Linked DNA regions of Macaca mulatta. The protein of the gene in region 2 purifies or fractionates together with the protein of the main gene of each other region. This does not show direct contact. Links are inferred from orthologs where the notes say so. Each region holds a gene or a part of one and is shown on either strand. Other genes may lie near its edges.

What was found.
Region 1: the proteins of MAPK9 (region 2) and DUSP16 purify together in Homo sapiens (affinity purification with mass spectrometry; 6 studies listed by BioGRID and IntAct, with this or other methods). This does not show direct contact. The link is inferred for Macaca mulatta from reciprocal best matches to the Homo sapiens genes MAPK9 and DUSP16.
Region 3: the proteins of MAPK9 (region 2) and DUSP8 purify together in Homo sapiens (affinity purification with mass spectrometry; 4 studies listed by BioGRID and IntAct, with this or other methods). This does not show direct contact. The link is inferred for Macaca mulatta from reciprocal best matches to the Homo sapiens genes MAPK9 and DUSP8.
Region 4: the proteins of MAPK9 (region 2) and MAPK8IP1 purify together in Homo sapiens (affinity purification with western blotting; 4 studies listed by BioGRID and IntAct, counting the BioPlex papers as one, with this or other methods). This does not show direct contact. The link is inferred for Macaca mulatta from reciprocal best matches to the Homo sapiens genes MAPK9 and MAPK8IP1.

What each region holds. Positions count from the first base shown.
Region 1 is NC_133416.1:14,927,678-14,933,021, forward strand, and holds part of DUSP16 (dual specificity protein phosphatase 16), read right to left. Parts: intron 1,283-5,344; coding exon 1,112-1,282; intron 1-1,111. UniProt on the Homo sapiens protein: Dual specificity protein phosphatase involved in the inactivation of MAP kinases. Dephosphorylates MAPK10 bound to ARRB2.
Region 2 is NC_133411.1:189,251,651-189,256,994, forward strand, and holds part of MAPK9 (mitogen-activated protein kinase 9), read right to left. Parts: intron 3,720-5,344; coding exon 3,595-3,719; intron 2,598-3,594; coding exon 2,534-2,597; intron 945-2,533; coding exon 873-944; coding exon of another isoform or gene 868-872; intron 1-867. UniProt on the Homo sapiens protein: Serine/threonine-protein kinase involved in various processes such as cell proliferation, differentiation, migration, transformation and programmed cell death.
Region 3 is NC_133419.1:1,475,017-1,480,863, forward strand, and holds the start of DUSP8 (dual specificity protein phosphatase 8), read right to left. Parts: upstream 3,988-5,847; 5' UTR 3,847-3,987; intron 3,377-3,846; exon of another isoform or gene 3,006-3,376; intron 2,844-3,005; exon of another isoform or gene 2,712-2,843; intron 2,689-2,711; exon of another isoform or gene 2,563-2,688; intron 1-2,562. UniProt on the Homo sapiens protein: Has phosphatase activity with synthetic phosphatase substrates and negatively regulates mitogen-activated protein kinase activity, presumably by catalysing their dephosphorylation.
Region 4 is NC_133419.1:19,710,139-19,716,272, forward strand, and holds the end of MAPK8IP1 (C-Jun-amino-terminal kinase-interacting protein 1), read right to left. Parts: intron 5,931-6,134; coding exon 5,849-5,930; intron 5,564-5,848; coding exon 4,751-5,563; intron 4,570-4,750; coding exon 4,494-4,569; intron 3,947-4,493; coding exon 3,732-3,946; exon of another isoform or gene 3,710-3,731; intron 3,588-3,709; exon of another isoform or gene 3,529-3,587; coding exon 3,371-3,528; intron 3,212-3,370; coding exon 3,095-3,211; intron 2,959-3,094; coding exon 2,888-2,958; exon of another isoform or gene 2,779-2,887; coding exon 2,680-2,778; exon of another isoform or gene 2,282-2,679; coding exon 2,209-2,281; 3' UTR 1,473-2,208; downstream 1-1,472. Other genes in the region: FREY1 (protein Frey 1), read left to right, coding at 832-1,072, 1,244-1,365. UniProt on the Homo sapiens protein: The JNK-interacting protein (JIP) group of scaffold proteins selectively mediates JNK signaling by aggregating specific components of the MAPK cascade to form a functional JNK signaling module. Required for JNK activation in response to excitotoxic stress.

The DNA.
Region 1 (5,344 bases), on a different chromosome or scaffold from region 2:
TTTGCTTTTCTTACACCTACCCAACCTAACAACTGACAGGCACTATTTTAATTTAATTGTATGATATTAAATTTTAATGTCATGTCTATTAACATGCAGTTCTGGTGTTTCTTTTTTTTTTTTTTTTTTTTTTTGAGACAGGGTCTCACTCTATGGCCTAGGCTGGAGTGGCATGGCATGATCTCGGCTCACTGCAACCTCTGCCTCCCAAGCTAAGTACATATAAAGAACTTAACACTGTCCAGTCCATAGTGAGTGATCCTCCCACCTCAGCCTCCTGAGTAGCCAGGGATACAGGCGGGCGCCACCACGCTCAGCTAATATTTGTATTTTTTGTAGAGACAGGGTCCTTCCTATGTTGCCCAGGCTGGTCTCAAACTCGTAGGCTCAGGTGATCCCCCCACCTCAGCCTCCCACAGTGCTGGGTTTACAGGCATGAGCCACTGCACCCTGCCAGTTCTGGTGTTTCTCTAAAGAACTGCCTTCATATATTTTTCTATTCTGGCTCTAAAATAGTTCATGGAATGGTTGTCATTTAAATCCAACAAAACGGCTTGGGCAACATGGAGAAACTCCATCTCTATTAAAAAAAAAAAAAAAAAATGCAAAAATTAGCCAGGCATGCTGGTGTGTTCCTGTAGTTCCAGCTACTTGGGAGGCTGAGGTGGGAGGATTGTTTGAGCCCAGGAGGTTGATGATGCAGTGAGCTGTGATCGCACCACTGCACTCCAGCCTGGGTGACAAAGTGAGACTCTGTCTCAAAAAAATACATACATACTTCCAACAAAACAATATTCCAGTAAATGTTCTCAAAGAGAAACCACAGAATCCAAGGAAATGCCACTTGAATTTCATTTTAACCTTATAAATGATTATTTTTATAATGTATGTAATCCTAGAACGTACTGAACGCTTACTGTGTGACAAACGCTGCTCTAAGCACTCTATAGGTATTTTACACACTCTTATAACTGCCCTATGAGGTAGGTATTACTACTAATCCCATTCATAGATAAGGCTCAGAATCACATAATATAGGCTCAGAATCACGTAATATAATAACTGGAAGAGCCAGGTTATAAGTCTACTTTTCTAAATCCTGTGGAATTACCTTCAACTCTCCCTTGGATGCAGGGACATTGCTGATGATATTCACGGGGTCCTGGCCTCCCAGCTGTGACCAGGCTAAAACGGCCATGGTCCTTTCCCAAACTGATGGAAGAGCCTTGTTTCCCCAAAGCCATATTGCTCAAAGGCTTCAATGAGGGAGAAGAAAGAAGATCTGACAAGACCAGAGAAAGGAGAATCTCTTTAAAGGCAATTTCACACGACACCAATAACAAAGTTTACAGATGAACTAGTTGAAATGTAAATATGGTCACTGGTTTGTTCATGACCATTTACACAAGTTGGTAGTAAAGTTGAGGCCATGTCTTGGCTTTCAGGTCACCCCCTACAGAACAACTTTCAGAGGAGACGCAATTCTGCAATAATCATAAACTGAGCCATCAGCCAGGCTGTCTGAGGTCCAGCTCTAGCGTTAATTAGTACAGTAATCCTATGTCACTTTGACTTCAGTGGACCTCAAAAGTAAATGTGGCTCTAGAAAGTTCTGAGACAGAGAACAGAAACAAAGGAGAGAAAGAAACCATCGTTCAGCCTCAAAACAAAAGAGCCAAACATAACAACAACACTACACTGTAAAACATATTATAAAACAAAAGAAGCTTTTTCAACTGATATCTAGAACAAATTCAAACAAACAAATATTTTAAAATATCTAACAGATTTAGCTGCAATCAGAACATTCATTTAGTGCTCAGTTTGGCTTGAAATGTCCCAAACTGGCTCCTAGTCACTTCCAGAAAACACCACCTCGGCCAGAGTACATTTTCACTGATCTTTATCTATGACAATGTTCCACTCTGCTGACATCCTCCTTCATTGACAGTTTTTTCCATTCACTGACCTTTCATTCACTGCTGCACTCTAGTGACTCCAGTTTCGTTTCATTAATTAACAACAGATGAGACACTGCCTGATTCCCTTGAACCTCTGAAAACTATCTGTGGCCTCACCAGCAACTCAGTTTTGAAACGTGTTTAAAATGTCCCTCTTCCTTTCATAAGTTCTCTTACAAATAAGATCTACTTCAGAAGGAAAGTTCAATCATGCAAACTTTCTGCTCCAAATGGCTGACGGAGACAGAGAATGAAGTGTCCTCTTATCTGCCCTCGTCATAACTTTGTTGTCCCAGGGACTCCAAGCTAGATTCCATTACAAGACATAACATCGACCATTATCCGCTATTTACTGTGAAAAGCAGTACCGAAAAACTGATAAGCTTCTTGAAAAAATTTGCGCATATTTTTTAAAGTTGTCTGAAGACTTGACTCACTGTCCAATCTTGCCAAGTTTCTCCTGTTCCTAATTTTATGCTGTTTATCATCTGGGAATGCAGAAAACGGAGTCATAGTAACCTATATGTGTTTCCCTAACATGGACCTGAACCTAAGAATGACTGTGCCCCCTATTCTGGAAGTATCTGTGCTAAGAGGAAGGAAGACAAATACGCAGACACTTCCAGCCTGCTGAGAAACAGGGATGGGCAGTCTCTGCAGGCAGAGAAGCGTCTTGGCCTCCACAGCTGTGGGTGCACAGGCAGCCAGACCGCAATGCTAAAAACCCATGTTTCTGTTTGTTAGTCTTCCATAAATCCAACCAAAAGAATGCATGTTTACAAATAAAAACATAGATACTACTTCCGACACAGAAAACATGTGGTACATACAGCTTCTAAGGCATTCCTGATTTAGATAACACCTTATCCTAATTCAGCCATGAAAACATTTTCCCTTAGGAGCACCTCCTTCACAATTCCAATCATAAATACGATTTTCTGTAAAAGCAAACGTGAACCACCATTCCATTTTGGGAGGGAAAAATCTGCTAAGCAAAATAAAATACATATAACAACTCTACTAAACAATTCTAATTAGTCACTCTTTTTTCTTCCCTCTCACCCATGCAATCAGTTATAAATCACAGTATTTTCTTAAAATGGAAGTATATTTACATAATAAAAGTAGTACTCTACTGTGGCTTAGTGATATTCTTAAAATGTTTTTAAGGCCAAAGTTCTAAAAATAGATCCCTATCCTTTTAGCAATTCCATGACTTTAAAGATGGTTTCCTGCAGTGAGAGACAGGACCTTTCCACTCATGCCTTCATTTAAATAGGGAGCAAGTCACTAGAGATTTATCAATTGACAGAGCCGCCTTCAAGGAAGGCAGAATCAAAGAGAACTGCCCTCCCACCCTATATTGTGAATGGATTCCATGGTTATACAAAGAAATAATATTGATACAAAGCTCTACTTTATGGAAGACATTTTTCTAAAAAGTCATATGCAAATTTAACTTTTATATTTTAAATAATCTGCATATAGTTCATATGGTTGCACAGTTTTGAACTATGCAGTTAAATTCTTGTTTTTTGTTTGTTTTTGGAGACGGAGTTTTGCTCTTGTTGCACAGGCTGGAGTGCAATGGCACAATCTCCGCTCACCCACAACCTCCAACTCCTGGGTTCAAGCAATTCTCCTGCCTCAGCCTCCCAAATAGCTGGGATCACAGGCATGCGCCATCACGCCCAGCTAATTTGTCCGGCTAATTTTGTATTTTTAGTAGACACAGGGTTTCTCCATGTTGGTCAGGCTGGTCTCCAACTCTCAACCTGAGGTGATCTGCCCGCCTTGGCCTCCCAAAGTGCTCGGATTACAAGCATGAGCCACCATGCCTGGCCATTACATTCTTTTGTAGTTCTCACATAGTTTAATTATTTTGTAAAACAAAACTCCCTTTTTGTAACATAAACACAATCCTTTCAGTTGCTTATTTTAGAATATATGTGAAAAACTAGAGTACACCTTCACCTGTAGAGGACAGTTCTCTCTTCTCTCCATACTGGAAAGAAAATCTGTTGCTTTATGATCACACAAAGGAGACAACTCTAACATTAAAAATGGAAAATAATGAAAATGTTTATTTTGCAGTAAAGTACTTTAATTGCTCTTAAGAGTAATTCTGTTATGCCTCAGTCTGACATGTCTGATTTAGGCAACTTCGTTCTCTAGACACTCACAGACTAAAGTATGGTCACAATTCTTTCAGGATCAGCAGACAGTAAACATGGAGAGTTGAAACTAGTTGAAGAAAAGAAAAAAAAAAAAAGCAACATAATTTCATACCCCTAAAAAAAGCAAACAAAATGTGTAACTAATGTTTCAATGTAGACACTTTGGTCTGGCTAAGCCAAGCCACACAGGTTTGGTAAATTACTCCTAGGAAGGTAGACAGCGGTGACGTGTTTTCCACAACATTAGCAGCATTTCATCTATTTCCCATATAGCCAACTCTCCAACTAGCCGTACTAAAAAGAAAATTCCCAAATGATCTAAAGCATTAATTTAAAGCTTTCATTCCATCCACCCCTATCCCACCATCTACTGGAGCACAGACCAAGAGAAGAGTGGAGAGATACGCATTTCTCTTTCAGGAAGGCTGACAAGTAGCCTGCATCTCACAAAACTTATCCTATAAATGACATCTCCAAAAAAGCTCACCCTGTATTAAACAACTCTATCACCTGACACACTTGGGAAATGGGAAATTCTATCTAATTTTGGTAGTTAAAACATATACAACAGTTACCACATATACAACAAATGAATGAAAAATTTTCAAAGCACCAGCAGACAAATCACTGAACACTAAAATTATGCAACTTGTAATTTCTTATGACTCAGAATGTCCAGATCTTATAACTAAGGATAATATTTATTTATTTATTTATTTTTAAAATTTTATTTATTTATTTATTTATTTATTTGAGACGGAGTCTGGCTCTGTCGCCCAGGCTGGAGTGCAGTGGACGGATCTTGGCTCACTGCAAGCTCCGCCTCCCGGGTTCACGCCATTCTCCTGCCTCAGCCTCCCGAGTAGCAGGGACTACAGGCGCCCGGCTACTTTTTTTGTATTTTTAGTAGAGACGGGGTTTCACCGTGTTAGCCAGGATGGTCTCCAGCTCCTGACCTCGTGATCCGCCCGTCTCGGCCTCCCAAAGTGCTGGGATTACAGGCTTGAGCCACCGCGCCTGGCCAACTAAGGATAATAGTTAAATCAATTCAATCGGCAACATTCAGATGTGTTATTCAAGGACTGGTTCTCAGAAGATGTAGAGTGATACTATTCTGCTGATCTTTTAAATTGGCAATACATAACTATGCCCAGAAAAACTCCTCTTAAACGCCCTGAAACAAAGATTGTTCTAAAGACTTGTGCA
Region 2 (5,344 bases):
CTCTCTGCACATCCCCACGCGTGTGTGCTTTCCAGTGGGAGTGGGAGAGAGACAATAAATATAACTTGAGCGTTTCATTTAGTAAACGGGAAGAATCCTGCAGACGTAAGTGAATACCACTAATATCAGAGTCTCTCATAATCGTACAACCACCCGGTCAGCAGGCTTCCACCACTATCAAGATCGGCAGATCAAGTAGAAAAATGGGAGAATGATATGAACAATTTTCTCAAGAGAAAACCAAATTCCATTTTACTTAGATTGGCATTTTGGGTGGGTTATCAACGTTGAAAAGGCTTTAAATTCCATTTCATCTGTAAATGGACGTGACAGCAATCGTTGCAAAGATGAAAGAGAAATGTTTATAAGGAAGTTCAGTGCCTGGCACATCAGTAAAATGCCATCCACCACCCCCTTCACTATGACAAGCCAAAAAGGGTGGCTATTCATACAGTGGTTTTTAAATCTGATGCTAGCCAGGCTGGCGTTTCAAACATGCTGCTGCCATTTATAAAAGATGAATAGGGAAAGAGGCCAGGTGCAGTGGCTCACGCCTGTAATCCCACCACTTTGGGAGGCTGAAGCGGGCGGATCACGAGGTCAGGAGATCAAGACCAGCTTGGTCAATACAGTGAAACCCCGTTTCTACTAAAAATACAAAAATTAGCCGGGCGTGGTGGCACGTGCCTGTAATCCCAGCTACTTGGGAGGCTGAGGCAGGAGAATCACTTGAACCCAGGAGGTGGAGGTTGCAGTGAGCAGAGATCATTCCACTGTACTCCAGCCTGGGTGACAGAGTGAGACTGTCTCAAAAAAGAAAAGCTGAATAAGGTAAGAAAAATATCATACAATCAATTAAAACAATCACTAACCTGAAGGCTGATCTTTTACAACACCATTCTTGCTTCTTTCTTCCCAATCCATGACTTCTTTGTAAATTAGCTCTTTAATAAAAATACAAGTTAAAATGCTTAATCAGTTTCTAAACAGTTTCATTGTATCTCTAAACTCTGCTTCCAAATCAACTGGAACCACTCCAAAGGCACTCCGATGTGTTATTTTTAATTGTAAGATAAGAGTCAATTCAGTAATATAGTCTAAGTGGACCAAAATATTCATGTTTTGATACATTATATCTTTTCTTTTCTTTCTTTCTTTGGGTTTTTTTTTTTTTTTTTTTTTTTTTTTTCTGAGACAGTTTCATGCTGTCATCCAGGCTGGAGTGCAGTGGCACAGTCTTGGCTCACTGCAACCGCTACCTCCTGGATGCCTCAGCCATCCAAGTGGCTGGGATTACAGGTGTTCACCACCATGCCTGGCTAATTTTTATAGTTTTTGTAGAGATGGGGTTTCGCTACGTTGGCTAGGCTTGTCTTGAATTCCTGGCCTCAAGCCGTCTGCCCGCCTGGGCCTCCCACAGTGCTGGGATCACGGGTGTGAGCCACTGCGCCTGGACTACATCCCATCTTTTCCATGCAGCAGTAAGGGAGCAAAACGTGGGGTGGTTCTGGACCCACAAGGGGCTGTATGAAGTGGACTGGCTCCCACAGAACACTGTAAGGGACTGGATACTCTCACATCCATTTCAATATGCTTCTCTACGTAGTTACTTGGGGTTTTCCAAAGGTAGCCGGCATCCACATGTGGGCTAGGAACCCCCGACACTGGCCAGAAATGAATCCACACGCCTAAGTCTTTTCCTTGTTTCAACTTCAACTTTCATTTGTAAGAAAAACTAATTACCTACTAAGTAAGTGATTAGGGATTCCTAAAATGTCAGTATTCATAAACCAGCACTAGCGCGTTGCAACCATTTCCGGAGGCCAGTGAGTGTGCTGTGAGCATGCACTGCTGAGCTCACACAGGCAACCGGCACTCCAGGAGGGCCCCGGGGCAGGACCCACCCTCAGTGCTGACTCACTCTGACTGTGGTTCTCAGTTACTACTGATGCCGCTTCTTAATGAAGAACTGTCAGGCCGACCTCTTCATTATAGGTGCAGTTTGTTGTGGGTGGTCTGGTTAATCTTACAGTGGTAATAATACCTATTTGCATATTTTCAATCTGCAGTTTCCCCCAAACTAGATTTTAAAACGTATGTACAACTACACGGCTTAAAAAAAGCAGGCAGAAGTTCACATGACCCCCAGCCCTGGCTCCCCATATCTGCACACACTGGGAATTCTATAGGTAACATGCAGCCTGTGAACTGGTGTCACCTGAAATTTGCAACATGTTATCAATGTAAGTGTGATGCAATTACTAAGCTCAGTTTACAAACCGATATGTGAAAAGCCATGAAAAAAATGCTATTTTTCCCTCTTGAAGCAAATGATAAGAAATTGATACATGTTCCTCTCTAACTCTGTTCTCTTCAAGTCCTTTTTCTACTGGAAACTGGGGAGAAAGAGGCTAAGTGGGTCGCAGCATTTCTTGCCCCTTCCTGAAGGGAAATGTCACAAAATGAAAAGCCTCTGCTTTACAGGACTGGAAGAAATGTCCTAAGGAAGGATCAAAATAAGCTCCATCTTTACCTTTCCATTCTTCAATTGCATGTTCTCTTTCTTCCAACTGGGCATCATAAATCTGAGGTGGTGGCTAAAAATTAAATCATATGTAAAGTCAATAGTAATGCCTCAAAAAAAATGAGGCACTAAAAAAGGTAAAATCGCTTGGAAGACTTCTAGTCTATTTATGATATGGATTTAGTTTAATTCAACACATGGTTTAATAAAGATTTGTCATGCAATATTGGATCAGCTTTGGGATCAAAATAATTATGAAAAAGTTAACCAAAAAAGAGTTACTATGTTCCTCTTAATAATCACCTGACCTCAAAACACAGACATCTGCCCATCACAGGCTGTTTCCCGAGACCCATCATGGACAAGGCATTGTGCAGGCAGCTATGGAAGGTACTGCTGTTTCTTAGAACAAATTTTACATGTTCTTCATGTGAGAACTCCCAAACCCAAAGTCCAACTCATAAATGGACTGTTACAAAAGTCTGCTTATAAATTGGATTCTTTTTATATAAAACAACGTTTAAACTGATGGCAAAACCACAGGCCATGCCATAAACATGTGTGTCACTCATGGCACGAAGGAAGCCCGCCACTACGCAGTGATCTCCCTCACAGCTAAAGCTCACTCACACCAGCGCTGACACAGAAACACGCACGTGAGCACCGAACTCAGAGTGGAGCTCCTCCAGCGGGAGAGCCAGGAGGCACAAGGCCTTTAGGGAAGGATACACAGACGTGTGATTTTTCAGCAAGCTGCTCAGCCTCTCTGGTTGAGTGGCCTAAACAAGAGGATGTAACCAAAGCCAATGGCACAGAACAGATGCTTAATAAACTATGAGCTCACAGCAGCCTTTGCAAAATGGAGACTGGTATCACCAAAGCGTAAGTTCATTCCTGAGGTCCTCCGAGCAAAGCGGCCCAGGCCTCAGACAGCACTTGGCCTTTTTGTAACTGGGAGCCCCAGATGGAGAACTTGCTACCCATATGTAGCCGCTCTGGACGAGCAGACAAGATCCAAGGAAATACAAGCCCGGCCTCCACATACAAGTCTTTTCAAAACAGATACTCACTGCCTCTGCTTCGGCCGGGTCATACCAGACAGTGATGTACGGGTGACGCAGAGCTTCGTCTACAGAGATCCGCTTGTCAGGATCAATCACTAGCATTTTCGATAACAGATCTCTGGCTTGACTGGCTAGGGTGACAACAAAGATTAGATTAATACACTAATGCTTTTAATATGAAACAAAGAGAATCATACAATAAAGAACTAAATACGACAGCACAGACAGAACAAAGATGTATTAATTTTGAGAAACGTTTGATAGGTTCAAGATGAATATAACACAAATTTTTTTTTTTTTTTTTTTGAGACAGAGTCTCGCTCTGTCGCCCAGGCTGGAGTGCAGTGGCGCAATCTCGGCTCACTGCAAGCTCCGCCTCCCGGGTTCACACCATTCTCCTGCCTCAGCCTCCCGAGTAGCTGGGACTACAGGCGCCCGCCACCCCGCCCGGCTAATTTTTTGTATTTTTTTAGTAGAGATGGGGTTTCACTATGTTAGCCAGGATGGTCTCGATCTCTTGACCTCATGATCTGCCTGCCTCGGCCTCCCAAAGTGCTGGGATTACAGGCATGAGCCACCGCGCCTGGCCATAACCCAAACATTTTTAAGAAAAAGTCAGATGGCCACTTTCATGACAAACCAGGTTTCCAAATGTGGTTTTACGCCTCTGGATCTGCGAGGGGAAGAGAAACCTGGGCCCCCAGGGTGGTGGGGAAGAGCACCAGGCAGCCTCAGACCAATGTCTGGGCAGGGCCCAAGGCTGGGAAACCACAGCAAGGAAGGTGGCAATTGCCGAGCTGCGGGTGGCACTGCCCAGGGTGTGGGCATGAGGCACGGGGGAGTATTTTTCTCTAAGTCACATCAAAATGAAATTAGAACAGACTTTTTAAACCGTGCAACAATCTCACATTCCCACAGGATGAAACACTCACAGATGCTTCTGGCTGGCCTAGCTGTATACAGTGCTGGCAACTTACAGTTTTTTTTTTTTTTTTTTAATCTACAGATTGGTATTTAGAAAAAAAAAAAACAAAAACAAGTTCAATAACTTAGTTAAATATAAGGATCACCTAGGTTTTGGCAATTGAAGTTCACAACCTGAGTAAGCACAGGAATGACTGAGGGTTTTCTGATTAAGGCACAGTTTACCTTAATTTTTTTTTTTTTTTATTGAGACGGAGTCTCGCTCTGTTGCCCAGGCTGGAGTGCAGTGGCGTAATCTCGACTCACTGCAAGCTCCGCCTCCCGGGTTCAGGCCATTCTCCTGCCTCAGCCTCCCGAGTAGCTGGGACTACAGGCGCCGCCACCACGCCCGGCTAATTTTTTGTCTTTTTAGTAGAGACGGGGTTTCACCGGGTTCGCCAGGATGGTCTCGATCTCCTGACCTCGTGATCCGCCCGCCTCGGCCTCCCAAAGTGCTGGGATTACAGGCGTGAGCCACCGCGCCCGGCCCAGTTTACCTTAATCTTAATGTGGACAGAAGAAAATCTCTTCTTTCTCCTTAAGCAATCACACCGTAGTAAAGGCTGCAGGAGGAGGTGGGGAGGACCTTTTCTACCGAGTGACTGTCACATGGCTCCGACTCTAGAATCTGCATTCAAGGGTTCTTTTCACCTGAAAACTTTGTGAATTCCAGTTGCTGTAACTGTAACAAGATTCTTTCAGACTGATTTGATGATTTTTATTTTGGCCAAAGGCTTCAATTAAGCCATGTTATGGAGGATAAAGCTTCCAGACCTTTAAGCTTTCTCTCCTC
Region 3 (5,847 bases), on a different chromosome or scaffold from region 2:
CCTACAGCTCCCAGGGGGGCATGTCCCTCACCTCTGGTTCCCCAGATGCTAAGGATCGGGGCCCAGCTATGCCAGGGATGGGGCAGGTTGGGTGGGGTGGGGAACGGAGACACTAAGGACAGCCTGGTGCAGATCAGTGGGGCCAGCACTGGCCATGTGGGAACAGAGGTAAGGAAACGTGAATGGTGTTGGTCTCACGCCTCTCCTTTCACGGCACCACATGCCAAGCCCTCCTGAGTACTTGTGGCCCTGCTCTTCCAGTGCCTAGGGGCTGGGGGGTGACAGGCAGGGCTGGGGACAGGATGCCCCCTGGCACAGCCCCATACACCCTCTTCAAAGGTCTTTGAGCCCAGGAGGAAGCAGTTTCCAAGTCCAAAGTCACAAGAAGGCTCCTCCCAGGCCCACACCTTCCAGGAGGCACCAGGTAGCCACCCTCCCCTGGGACACAGCACGCCTGGCTCCGGTGCTGCATGCACACTGCCCTCTAGGTGTGCCAGAACACACCCCTTTGCACACCCACTCCACACACACTGGTGTCCCTTACCCACAATCCACCTGCCCTGTGTGCAAGTACCCACGCGTGAATGTGTGCACACATGTGGTGCTGGACGTACACTAGAGTACACGCACGTCCTTGCCCTCTGTATGCAGAATCCCCTGAGAACCCCAGGACTCCAGTACCCCGGGGGCCAGCTCCAGACTCCTTACACACACAAACTCCCACACCCAGCGCCTCTACACAGCACATTCCTGTCCCTGAGCACAGATGGGACCAGGGAGTCCCAGGCCACCCCCAACTCTCAACTGACAGCATCCTCGCCACATTACCTTCTGCTCAGCACCTAGAAATGGGGACTCATGACCTTCAGAGATAGCTGCCAGGACTGTCAAGCATGGGGGGATGGGACTGTGTCTCCCCCTTACACCTAGGCAGGCTCTTCGAGCTGTCTGGCTCACTGTCACCCACGGATGCCTCTGGAGGCAGAAATCGTCACAATAAGGAGGCTGGGGAGAGACTGGTGGGTGGCGACTCTGGGAGGCAGCGACCCTGCACTCATGCAGGTCAGCTCTCTTCCCTCACTGGGCTCCCCCAAATGCCCTCATCCCTGCATCCCCTCAGCTCCCTGGGCTAGTGGTGCAGGACCCAAGCTGGCCTACACTCTGTTCCGCTGGCCTGGGGAAGCTGTGGACCTGGGAGAAAGTGGGGTAGGGCTGGGGGCTCCCTCCGATCCCAGAACAGGGTCCGGGTAGGGCAGGGGATGGGAGGGCTTGGCACAGGGGGCCGTGAGGACATATCCAGGTTCCCTCCCTTCCCACCGGGCCTGTGTCCCTCCTCCTGGTCACTGTGCCACACGCTAAACACCAGGACCAGCCTGGGGCTTCCAAGGTTCACTGCCCTGAGCAACTCCAGCAGAGGGAGCCTCAGCCGGTGCAGTTCTCATGTCCAGAACCACCTCTCTCTCGCTGTGGGCCTGCCCCTTTCCTTGCCTTCTGCAAGAAGTGACACCTAGGTCTCACCAGGCCCCAGCCGAAGGCCCTTCGAGACACCTGCCCAGTGGCAGCCTCTAGGCCCTGACTTCAGCCCCAGCCTGAGAAGAGAAGGGTTCTGGAGCAGAGACTGACTCTAAGCTTCTTTCTGCACCTCTGTTCATGGGACTTTATTCCCAGAAACCTCCCCGAGGACAGAGGGCACCAGGGGAATAGAACCTGCCCAGCCACACTCCTGCAGCCCCAGGCTGCCTGAAGCAGGAGGTATTTCAGGGAGACTTCAGGATGAACTTCCAGCTGGGGTCACATGATCTGCCATGCGCATCCAGTGCTTATTATCAGTGAATGCATGGGACCGTCCTCCTGGTGGAGGGCTGGGGGCCTGGGGTGCTACATTCACCCCTGCACCGCCTAGGTGCAACAGTGTCTCTGGGTGGGCTGTGCCAGAAGGGAGGCAAGGGAGAGTGCCCGGGCTTGGACCTCCCCTCGGAACCCCCGCAGGGGCACAAAAGGAGCTTCCCTGGCTCGCAGCACCCCACCCCCACCCCAAGCTGCATAGCAAGAGCACTGCGGAGCCACACTACATCCTGCCACCCCCTCCTCCATCCCACAGCGTCCCCGCCCCCCATCACTGCAGCACAGAGCCCCTATTCCCCTCAGCAGAGGCCCGTACACACACCCCGGAGCAGGGAGACGGAGGCAGATTCTCCCAGAAGGGGTGACCCTGTGGGGGCTGGGCCTATTGTTGCCCCCTCCCCTCCAAGCCAGACTGTTAGGTACCCCCACCTGGTCTGCTCCGCAACCCAGGCTGGGCAGCTAGGCCTAGCGAGGTGGCTGCAGCAGCCTGGCTGTGCCAGCCCCTCCCCCAGCGCCGCGGCTGCCTCTGCAGCAGGCGGAAGGGCGCAGGGGCTTTATCCCTCAGGGGCCGGCTGGGCACCCCGGGGTGGGGGTGCGGGGCGGCCTGGACATTTGGGGGGATGGATCTGCAGCCCTCCCCTGCGACAGGGGACGGCCCCTTCTCGGGTGTCCCACGCCACAGGCCGTCGCGTCCCTCCCACGGCCGAGGCTCCACACCTCCCGGACCGGCTCCGGGCCAGGGTCCGCCTGCTCCGGCTCTGGCCCCCGCGGGGGTGCCGTTCGGGACGTTGGGGGGTCGCGCAGATCCGCGCTGGATCTCAGGTGGCCCTGGTGGGTCCCGGATTTTTGTCCCCCCCGTTGCGCACCCAAAGAAGGAGCTGCGTGGAGAAGGACGGCAACGCGGCGGGCGGGCGTGGGCTGGGCCCGGGTCCGCCGGGCGCTGCGGAAGGCGCGGAAGGGGCCTCCCTGTCCCGGGCGTCCTGGCCGGCCGGGGCCGCTCACTCCGGGGCCGCCTCCTCCTCCCGGGCGCCCGCCGGGTGCCGCTGCCCCAGCGCCCCCGACGCTGCGCCTTCCGCCCCCCGGCCCGGGCCGGTGAACCCAGTCCCCGGCGCCTGCCCCCGTCCCCGCCCCCGCCCCGCCCTGCCGGCGCCTCCGCTCACCTCGCTCGCGCTCGCCTCGGGGGCGCTCCGGGGACCCGCGCCGCGCTCAGGGCGCCCGCTCGGCTGCGCCGTCCATGGGCCCGGCGGGGGCCCGCGCAGCCGGGGCAGGGGCCGGGGGAGCGCGCGGGCCGCGTCGCCGTCGCCGCCGTCGCCGCCGCCAACGCCGCGGGGAGCGCTCGCTCGGGCCGGGGCGCGCGCACTGCGGGCGGGCACGCGCGCTCGCGGCGCGCATCCCAGCCCCGCGGCTCGGCGGGCGCGGCCGGGCGGTTCCGGCGCGGCTCGGGCTCGGGCTCGGGCTCGGGCTCGGGCGTCCGGCGTCCGGCGGGGCGGTGTGGGGGGAGCTGGCTCGGCCGCCGCGCTCGGCCGCGAGTGACAGGCCCGGGGCGGAGGGCGGGGCCGCCGGCGGGGATGAGGTCATGCCGAGCGAAAAAAGCCCCTGACGTCACCTGCAGCCAATCAGCTCGCGCGGCTCGGGGGCAGGTGACGTCAGCGGAGCCCGGGCTCGGGGTGAAGCCGAGGCGGTGGCCGCGGGGGGCGGGGTGCAGGGTGCGGGTGGGTCGCGCTGCCGCCGCCTTCTGTCCTCACCCCGGGACCGGCTCTTAAAGGGACCACGCGGCGTCCGGGCCCCCGCCTCCAGGAAGCCCTCCCGGCCCCGCGCTCCGCGTCACCCGGGCCCCCAGCCGCGTCGCACAGACCCCGGACGGTCCAGCCGAGCGGCCCCGGGCGCGACGTCCTCCCCCGGCCCGGGCAGGCGCCGGCGCCGCTCCCCACTTCGCCCGGCCTTTGTTGGCGCGGGGCCGCCGCGGGGGAGCCCTCCCCAGACCCGGGCGCGGCGTTTTACCTGCAGCGGCTGCGCTCGCCCCGCCGCGACCCCCGCAGGACGGAGCCGGAGCCCCCTGCACCCGGGCGGACCGGGGACCCTCAGAGGCGAGCCGGCTGCCTCGGGTCACACATCCGCGAACTCCGGGGGCGGGCTCCCCAGGACGCCGCCGCCCCCCACGACCCCCGCCCTCCCGCTTCCGTGGAAAGCCGCCGCGACGACCCCCGTGCGGGTTGTTGAGGGGCCGTCCTCCGCCGACCGCTGTGGGAACACCTCCGCGCGTGCGGCGGGACGCGGCGAGTCAGGGGCAGGAAGAACGCACGGGTAATTGCACCTTGGGCAGGTGTTGGGCGGGAGCAAGGGGGTCAGACTCGCGCTGCAGGGGGAGGGCGGGGAGGCCTCGCTGTTCCGGAGGAAGGGGACAAAGACCCCTGCCTAGGAGCCTGGGAGTCTTTGAAGGTAATGATTTTTTTTGGTAGGGGTGTCTCCAGACACCCCAGACATTTCTAAAAGGCCTCCTCGCCGCTGCCTGGTGGAGAGGGAGCGTGGGGGGATCCACCTTCTGCCCCCAATCCCCCAACCAGCCTGGACCCCCCAGGGTCACCCTGGGGCTCTGAAGGGGGCTTCGGTCGCTGGTTGAATGAAGGGCCACAGAAAATGAAGCCGGCGCAACGACCGCAGAACCCTCAGTCGGCACCAGGACCCTGGAGCTCAGGGTGCGAAAGGTGATGGCTGGGGGTGGGGAGGACTGTGGGCAACAGGGGGTCCTGAGCGGGGTTCGGGGCTCCCCCTTTCCATACTCAGTCTTCCTGCCAGCCTCAGAACTGAGTACACAGTTGGCGATTAATAAGCGCTTGCAGCTCCCCTCCCTGGCCAGCCTGAGGGGAGCGGCAGTGGCCCTTATGGGATAGGGGTGGCGGTGGAGTGCGTTCCTGGCACAGAGCTGGCACACAGCACAAACGAATCCCTTGGCGAGAGTGGGGCCGTCCCGGAAGGAAGCCCTGGGAGCCTAGGGGTTGTTGGGGTTGGGACTGCGCCCCGAAGCGGGAGGGCCCTGCGAGAAGGGAGGCCCTGGCTGAAGGGGGATCCTGAGGCCGGAGGTGCCAGACCCGGATGCGGGGCCAGGTGAGTAGGGCTGCAGGATGCAGCCTTGCTGGGTTTGAAAAGTGGCGGAGGCTTGGCCCTGGGAGGGGCAGGAGGATTCAGGCTGAGACCCAGAGGGGGCAAAGCAGGTCCTTGAGGAGGCACACAGGCCTGGAAGGGCCTGGGACGCGAAGGCGTGGCAGCTGTTGGCCATTAGATAGAGGGGCTGTCGCCTGGGGAGAAGCCTCACCTGGCTTGTTCCCCTGCCAGGCACAGGTGAGCCGGATGGGAAAAGGACGGGCGTGTCTTCTGCCCAGGTGGGATGTGGCCAGCATCTGCCTGTGGCCTGGGAGTGCCCATTGTCCCCTAAGAGCTCTGGTTATACCCTGGGCAGCTACTGGCCAGGCTGGAGCAGGTGGCAGGCAGCGACCTTGAGCCCTTCCTGGAGGCTGTCAGGGGATGGTTTGGAGGGGAATACAGCTTCCCTGGCAGGGCCTGGGCTGTCCCTGGGGAGCGGAGTGCCCTGGGTGGCGATTGTTATAATCCTCGTGGTCATTTTCATGCAAATAAGCACTGAGAGCGTTAGGTTCTGCCCCCAACCAGGGTGGAGGGCTAGGGAGGTGGCACCCCGGAGAGGACGGTGGCTTTTCTGCAGCCCCGCTGCTTGGTTCCACGTTGCCTTTACACCCAGCAGGTGCCGGCCCGGGCGGTGGGCGCAGGGGCCTGGGTGTCCGACCAGGTCAGCTCAGCTCAGCTCAGCTCAGCTCAGCTCAGCTCAGCTCAGCTCGGCGGCCGCACCGCCTCCTGGCACAGGTGTGGACTCGGGTGGGAGGCGCTACCCAGGGAGGGGGCTGCGGTGTCAGTCCCGGCCCGGGCCTGTAGACGCCGCCTCGGGGGTCTCTGGGGCTGGGGAGGATCCTGCGAGGGGCCAGGGAGGCT
Region 4 (6,134 bases), on a different chromosome or scaffold from region 2:
CTGCAGATTCCAGTGAACAAAGCTGTCCCTGCCCTCCTGAAGCCTGCATTTGAGGGGCAGGTCCAGAGCTCTGCCACCACGTCTGGAAGCCATCCATCTAGCCTCAGGCCGCTCTAAGCTGCAGGCAGCCGAGAGAGAGAGAGGTCCTGAGCCGGGGACATGGGGAGCCTGGACACTCCCTGTCACGTAGACCCTGAGATGGGCAGAGCTGAAAGACCCACTCTGGGCTCCTCAGCTGGCAGGACCTGCCCGTACCTCCTGCTATGCTAGCGGGAGTTGGGGAGGCTGTTTGAATGGCTGGGGCTCTGGGTGGTGAGGAGCCCCTGCCCTCTTCGGAGGGCCTGTGTCTGTAGGGTGTGTTATGGACTACATCACAGATGACGAAACTCCGGCACACAGAGATGAAGTGACTTGTCTGGCTACCAAGAGGCAAGGTCAGGACCTCAGCTGAGATCTGACTGTACAGTGTGTGCCCTGATTCCCTGGGCAGCGACACTAGAACAAGATCAGGTTTGGCACCTATTAGCCAACAGCATCAATAAGAACAAAAGCCTCAGGGTGGAGGTTGCTGGCCCTGCAGGTGCTGACGCAAGCCTGGAATGAAGGCCCTTTGTGAGGTGGCCCTGGGAACTGGCAACAGGTTCCGTCCTGCCAGGAGAGGGACGACAGGAGCTGGGACCTGTGTAGGAGATGGTTCTCGCCATGCTGGGGGCTCTGCACCCCCGGGCTGGGCTCAGCCTCTTCCTCCACCTTATCCTGGCAGTGGCACTGCTTCACTCCCAGCCTCTGAGGTGACTCCTGGGGCACGGAGGGGCAGGGCACTCGGGCTGGATGGCAGAGGTGCTGCCCCTCCCCTCTCTGGAGTGGGGCTGGCTGGCCCTGGTACCCTGGGTGTTGGAGGGCTTGCCAAGTGCCCCCACACTGGGCCATCCCCCCATTCACAAGGAGGTGGCGGTGGCTTTCTGGGCCAGGGCCGAGCACCCCAACCTCTCCCACAGGTCTCAGCAGTCTGTTCCTGAGGCATTTTCCGCACCCCTGGAACTCTCACAGCCACTCTCCGGCCTGGTGGATGGTAGTATCTCTCTCGTCCCCTTCCCCTTCCCCTTCCCCTGCCCCTCCCTGACAGTGGAGACTCCCCTAAGGGGTGCCCCAAGTCCAGCCTTCAGGGGCTTGTCATCCCAAACCACATATGTTCAAGGGTGCCAGCTGCCCCTCCCACCCATGCCCTCCTTTCTCTCTCTAGACTATGGCATCCTCCCCAAGCACCCGTGGCCGCGAGGGCCTCGACCCCGCCTGTCCCGGGCCCAGCAGCGCAAGCGGGATGGGCCCGACCTTGCTGAGTATTACTACGACGCACACCTATGACCCAAGGCCCCCATAAAGATACTACACATGACAAAGGCTTGGCTTTCCTGGGCTGGGAGTGAGATGGGGACAGGAGGAGTCCATACAGATACATCCACTGCAGTCCAGACAGGAAATGGCACTTTAATAGTTGGGGCCAGGGTGACAGGACCAAGATGGGGCTGGCCTGTGTCAGTCAGGAAGCCTCCCTCCTGCTGGGACAGGGCCTTGCGGCAGCTCCTCCTCCCCACTGAGGTCCTAGGCCTGCCACAGGCCAGCATGCCGGTGAGGTCAGTGGCAGGAGCCACCCAAAGTCCCGCAAATGACGGAGCTGAGAACGGGGTCTTCACCTCCACGTGTTGCCATTTCCTCACTGGAAAGTCCTTGGGAGGTGGCTGGGCTCAGCCTGAGCTCACGGCTTTTCGGTGGGGGTTGGGGCAGGGGCAGGGTGGGCACTTGCAGGTGGCACAGGCTTCATCAAGGCAGGACACGGGCTTCATCAAGGCAGGAGCCAGAGCGCCCGAGCCCTGGCAGGGGAGGTAAGGCCCAGGATGGGGCAGGGCCATGTGCTCCTGGAATGGACATCCTTCTCTGCCAGAGGCCTGCCCCCCAAGCCCTGCCCCTCCCAATCCCCAGGCAGCCCACTCTGCCCTCCATAGATGAATCTAATCCCATATATTACAATAAACCGCATTTGCTTCTCCCCATTGCCCCACCCTCCCCTACCCTGGGCCAGCAGCCCCCACTTCCTCATCCCCTGGTGGTAGCAGGTGCCCCTCCTCAAGCAGTGCCACATCCTGTCAGCAGCCAGCTGTCCTGGCACTGGCCTGAGGGCCGGGGGATGCAGAGGGCGGGGCTGCACGGCTACTCCAGGTAGATATCTTCTGTGGGGCAGGTGTACTCCACAAACTGCTTGTAGAACTGCTGGAATGCTCTCCTAGAAGCCAGGGGACACACAGATGGCTCAGACCGCCACTGGCAAGGGAGGAATGGGATCACGACCCAGGGTTTTCCCACCGGAGCCTTGGGGCCTGAATGCAGCTCTGGTTCCTCTGGCCGGGGCCACTTGGCTCTGTTCTCTACAGAATTGCCATTGCATTTCCCAGTAAGATGTCAGCTGAAGACGTGGCTCAGCAGCTACCAAGCCTGGAAGCCACTCCTCAGGCTCGCCCTGCCCTGCCACCCTCCCTCCAGGCCACTGCACTGGGGTCTGGAGATGGTTCTCCAGAGCTGCGGGGGAAACCAAGGGGCAAAGCTGAGCACCAGGAAGCAGCCCTAGGGCCTGGGATGAGGTGTGCTCCCTCGGGCTGGGTGCTCAGCAGGATGCACACGTACCCCACGGACTCTGCCAGGGCTTTGGTGGAGTCTTCAGACACAAAGACATGGCAGGCAAACCGGTGGTCGGCGGGGTGCTTGGTGATGAACCCAAAGTACCTGCAGGGACAGGTCTGTCTGTGCTGGGACAGGGGCTCGGCCCACACCCAACCACCTGAAGGCTGCAGACCAGCCGTGCCTCCTCCACTGCCATCCCACCCCCACTTACTTGTTGTTCTTTGGATGATATCCACAGAAAGAGATGTTTTTTAACTGGAAAAAGTGGCTACATTTATTCCCCTACAGGAGGGAGAAAAGAAGCAAGAGGGCGGTCACCTGGCCTGCAATGAGGGTGAGAGGAGACGGCCTCTTCACTCCAAGTCTTGGGGGAAAGCTGGGGGCCATGGAAGGAAGGGGCTGGGTTGGGAGGAGTCACCTTGGCCTCCTGGGAGTCATCGGCCTTGACGCCTATCTTCACGCCCCGCACGCTGATCTCCAGGACGCAGCTGGAGGGTGGGTTAAAGTGCACGGTGAGCCGGCGGGTGGTGGCAATCTATAGGTGACACACGGAGCCACGTCAGCTGCTGTCTGTTCCTCTGCTGATCCCTCCTGTCCCAGGGCCTGAGCCCTGAGGCCTTTACTGCCTCTAGACACCTGTATTCCTCTGCCCCAGGGAGCATCCAAGGGAGGAGAAGGGAGAGGGCTCAGGTACCTTTTGCATAGCGGCACAGAGGACGTCATTGCCCTTGTGATAGGGAACCTGGACTGAGCCCAGGAACTTCACCCGGAACTGGTCCACCCAGTCACTGTTTTTGGCCAGGGCTGGAAAGCAAGTGTGAATTGAGGAGGGGCAGAAACAGCAGGAGGGAGCTGAGCAGCCAAGCGAAGGAGGGCGGGTAAGGCACAGGGAATGGCAGAGCCCACACAGGCTGCCACAATCCCTGGCTGCCCAACTTGGCCGGGCCTCACTTTGCTCGATCGTGAAAAGGACCTAAAATCACCTCCACTCAGCCCCCCACCTGTCTGGCTAAGATCTGGAGTACACGTTCACCCAGCAGCAAGTCAGGGCAGACAGATGTGGTGGCTGGGGGCACAGGCCAGGCAGGGAACGCTACCTGCCATGTGCTCGGGCTCCTTGGTGACCTCGATGGCGTAATAGGCAGGAAAGACGCCCCGGGCACCGGTGCGCATGTTGTAGGCCTCGTACCAGTAGTCTTCAGCCTGGAGCTCCACTAGCAGAGGGTCATCCACTTCCAGCTCAAGTTCGTCTTCGTGTCGAGGCACAAACCTGTCCCCAGCAAGGACAGGTGAGAAATTCGGCACCAGGGCCTGTCCGGCCAGGCCTACTCTGCAGTCTGGGAGCCACAGCAGCATCGTCATTTCAGTAAACATTTGCAAAAGCATCCTGTGTGCCTGTGGCAGTGCTAACCCCAGGGGAGAGCAAGGTCAAGCAAACATGCGTCTGCCGTTGAGGAAACACAGGCCAAGGGAGGGTGCGGGCAGGGACCCTCTAAAATGGAGAGGCTGTGGGAAGCGCAGGCTTTTGTCTAGAGAAGGGTCAGGTGGGGTGTGGGCAGGCATCCTCTTGGTCACCCTCCTGGGTGCCCTGCCCCCGACCAGACTAGGTGCGCAGTCCTGGGATCCCTCACCGTAGCCATCCTCTTTGTCACCATACTCTGAGTCCCTAGAGAGTGGACACTGTCCTCCCAGGGCTGAGTGGATCAACGAATGCTGATGGCAGGGGTTAGGCTGAGGCCATGTAGGGGTGACAAATGGAGGGTGGTGTGTGGCCCAAACTGCTGCGTGGCCAGGCCCAGCCAGCCCATGGCTCTCACCTGAATATGGCCCGGTGGGTCTGCTCCTGCTCCTCCCCATTGATGATGCAGGAGAACAGCCCGAAGGACTCGGCACCTGCAGGTGAGGGGGTATGGCTGGATGGGAGGTCGCAGCTCTGATCCAGGTTTAGCGGGGCAGGTAGAAGCCTCAGTCCTAACCAGATGGGGCCTGGGGTCGCCTCCCAGAACACTTCGCATTTTGGCTCTGTCCCGCTAGGGAACCCCCACCCCCCAACTGCTTCCCCTTGCTGACTCACTGGAGGAGCGGGAGCGGCCACTCATGAAGACGTTCAGGAACTTCTTGGAGAAATGGACGTCGGGTTCGTCAGGCGTGGAATCCTCGGAGAGGCAGGCAGGGGGCTGGGGCCGGGGGGCCTCCTCATATTCCTCTCCGATGGCCGACTCATAGGGCGAGGAGACAGAGGCACAGTTGTCATAGACGGTGGCCGAGTCACTCTCGTCACTGTAGTCTCCGAAGCACGGCCGCAGGCTCACCAGCTCCAGCTGTGCGTGCTCATCCACCACCAGCGTGTACTTGACCGAGTCGTAGGACAGGGCGCTGGTGTCCGAGCTCAGAGACGCCCGTGGAGGTGGCGGCGGCTCCCCCAGGCTCCCCCGCCACCCTCCGCCTGGGGGCTCAGCCCGCTCTGGGGACGACAGGCAGTCGAAGCCCTCCTCCTCTTCACTGATGGAGGGGTGTGGCCGCCCTGCCGTGGAGGGGTAGGCAGCAGGGTCTGGATCGGAGCTGACCGACATCCGGCTCTCAGTGGGAGGCAGGAAGGCGGAGGTGGGCTCTGCAGGGTCTGGGGGCCTCTGCACTGGGGTCAGGTAGATCTCCTCAGTGGCCTCTAGTCGCACATCGGCCTGGTAGTGGATTCGGTCTCGATGCGAGTGGCCCCGACCCCCAGGCGGGGCAGCAGGGGGACCCCCCGGAGGTGCCATCTGGGTGGCTGTGCTGCGGCGGCAAGGGCTGTCGGTGGAGGTGCCCCGGTCTGTGGTGGGGGCGGGGCTGCTCTGGGGGGGCAGCTCATCGCTCAGGCAGATGTGTTCATGTGGCGGCGTCTGCTCCCCTGGAGAGCAGGCAGGTCATGAAGGCAGGGGCTCTCTCCCAACTCCCAGCTGCCTGCACCCGCCACTCTCAGCTTGGTGACACAGAAACCAAGACAAAGCCTCTCTGGGGCCAGTCAACTCCCTCACGCTACCACTGATCTCACCCCCTGGATGGGCTTGTGCAGGGATGTGGGTGGACAGTTTACCTCTACTCAGCCCTTTGGAGACTGCAGGGTTTGCTCTCTGCAGTGGGGACTGAGTCAGGGCAGGCGGAGGTCCAGGTAAGGAAAAGGGCCCTGACTTACCTGTCTTCAGGGGTGAGGATGATCGAGACACCCGATCCTGCCAACTGTGCTTTTTGCCCAGAGAATTATTATTCAGTGTGTCCTGTGCGGGGAACAAAAGGCTCTTGTGATGGAAGTGGTCAACAGTGCCCGGCACAGGGAGGCCCCGGCCCTGCCCCCTCAGGCCATCCCTAGGGCCGTTTGCTGTGTTCACCCCGCCTCCACTGTCAAAGGCCTCACTCCCAACTCTCCTCTGGAGCAGGCAGGAAGGGTGGCAAGTCACAGCCAGGCTTGCTGGCTCCGGATG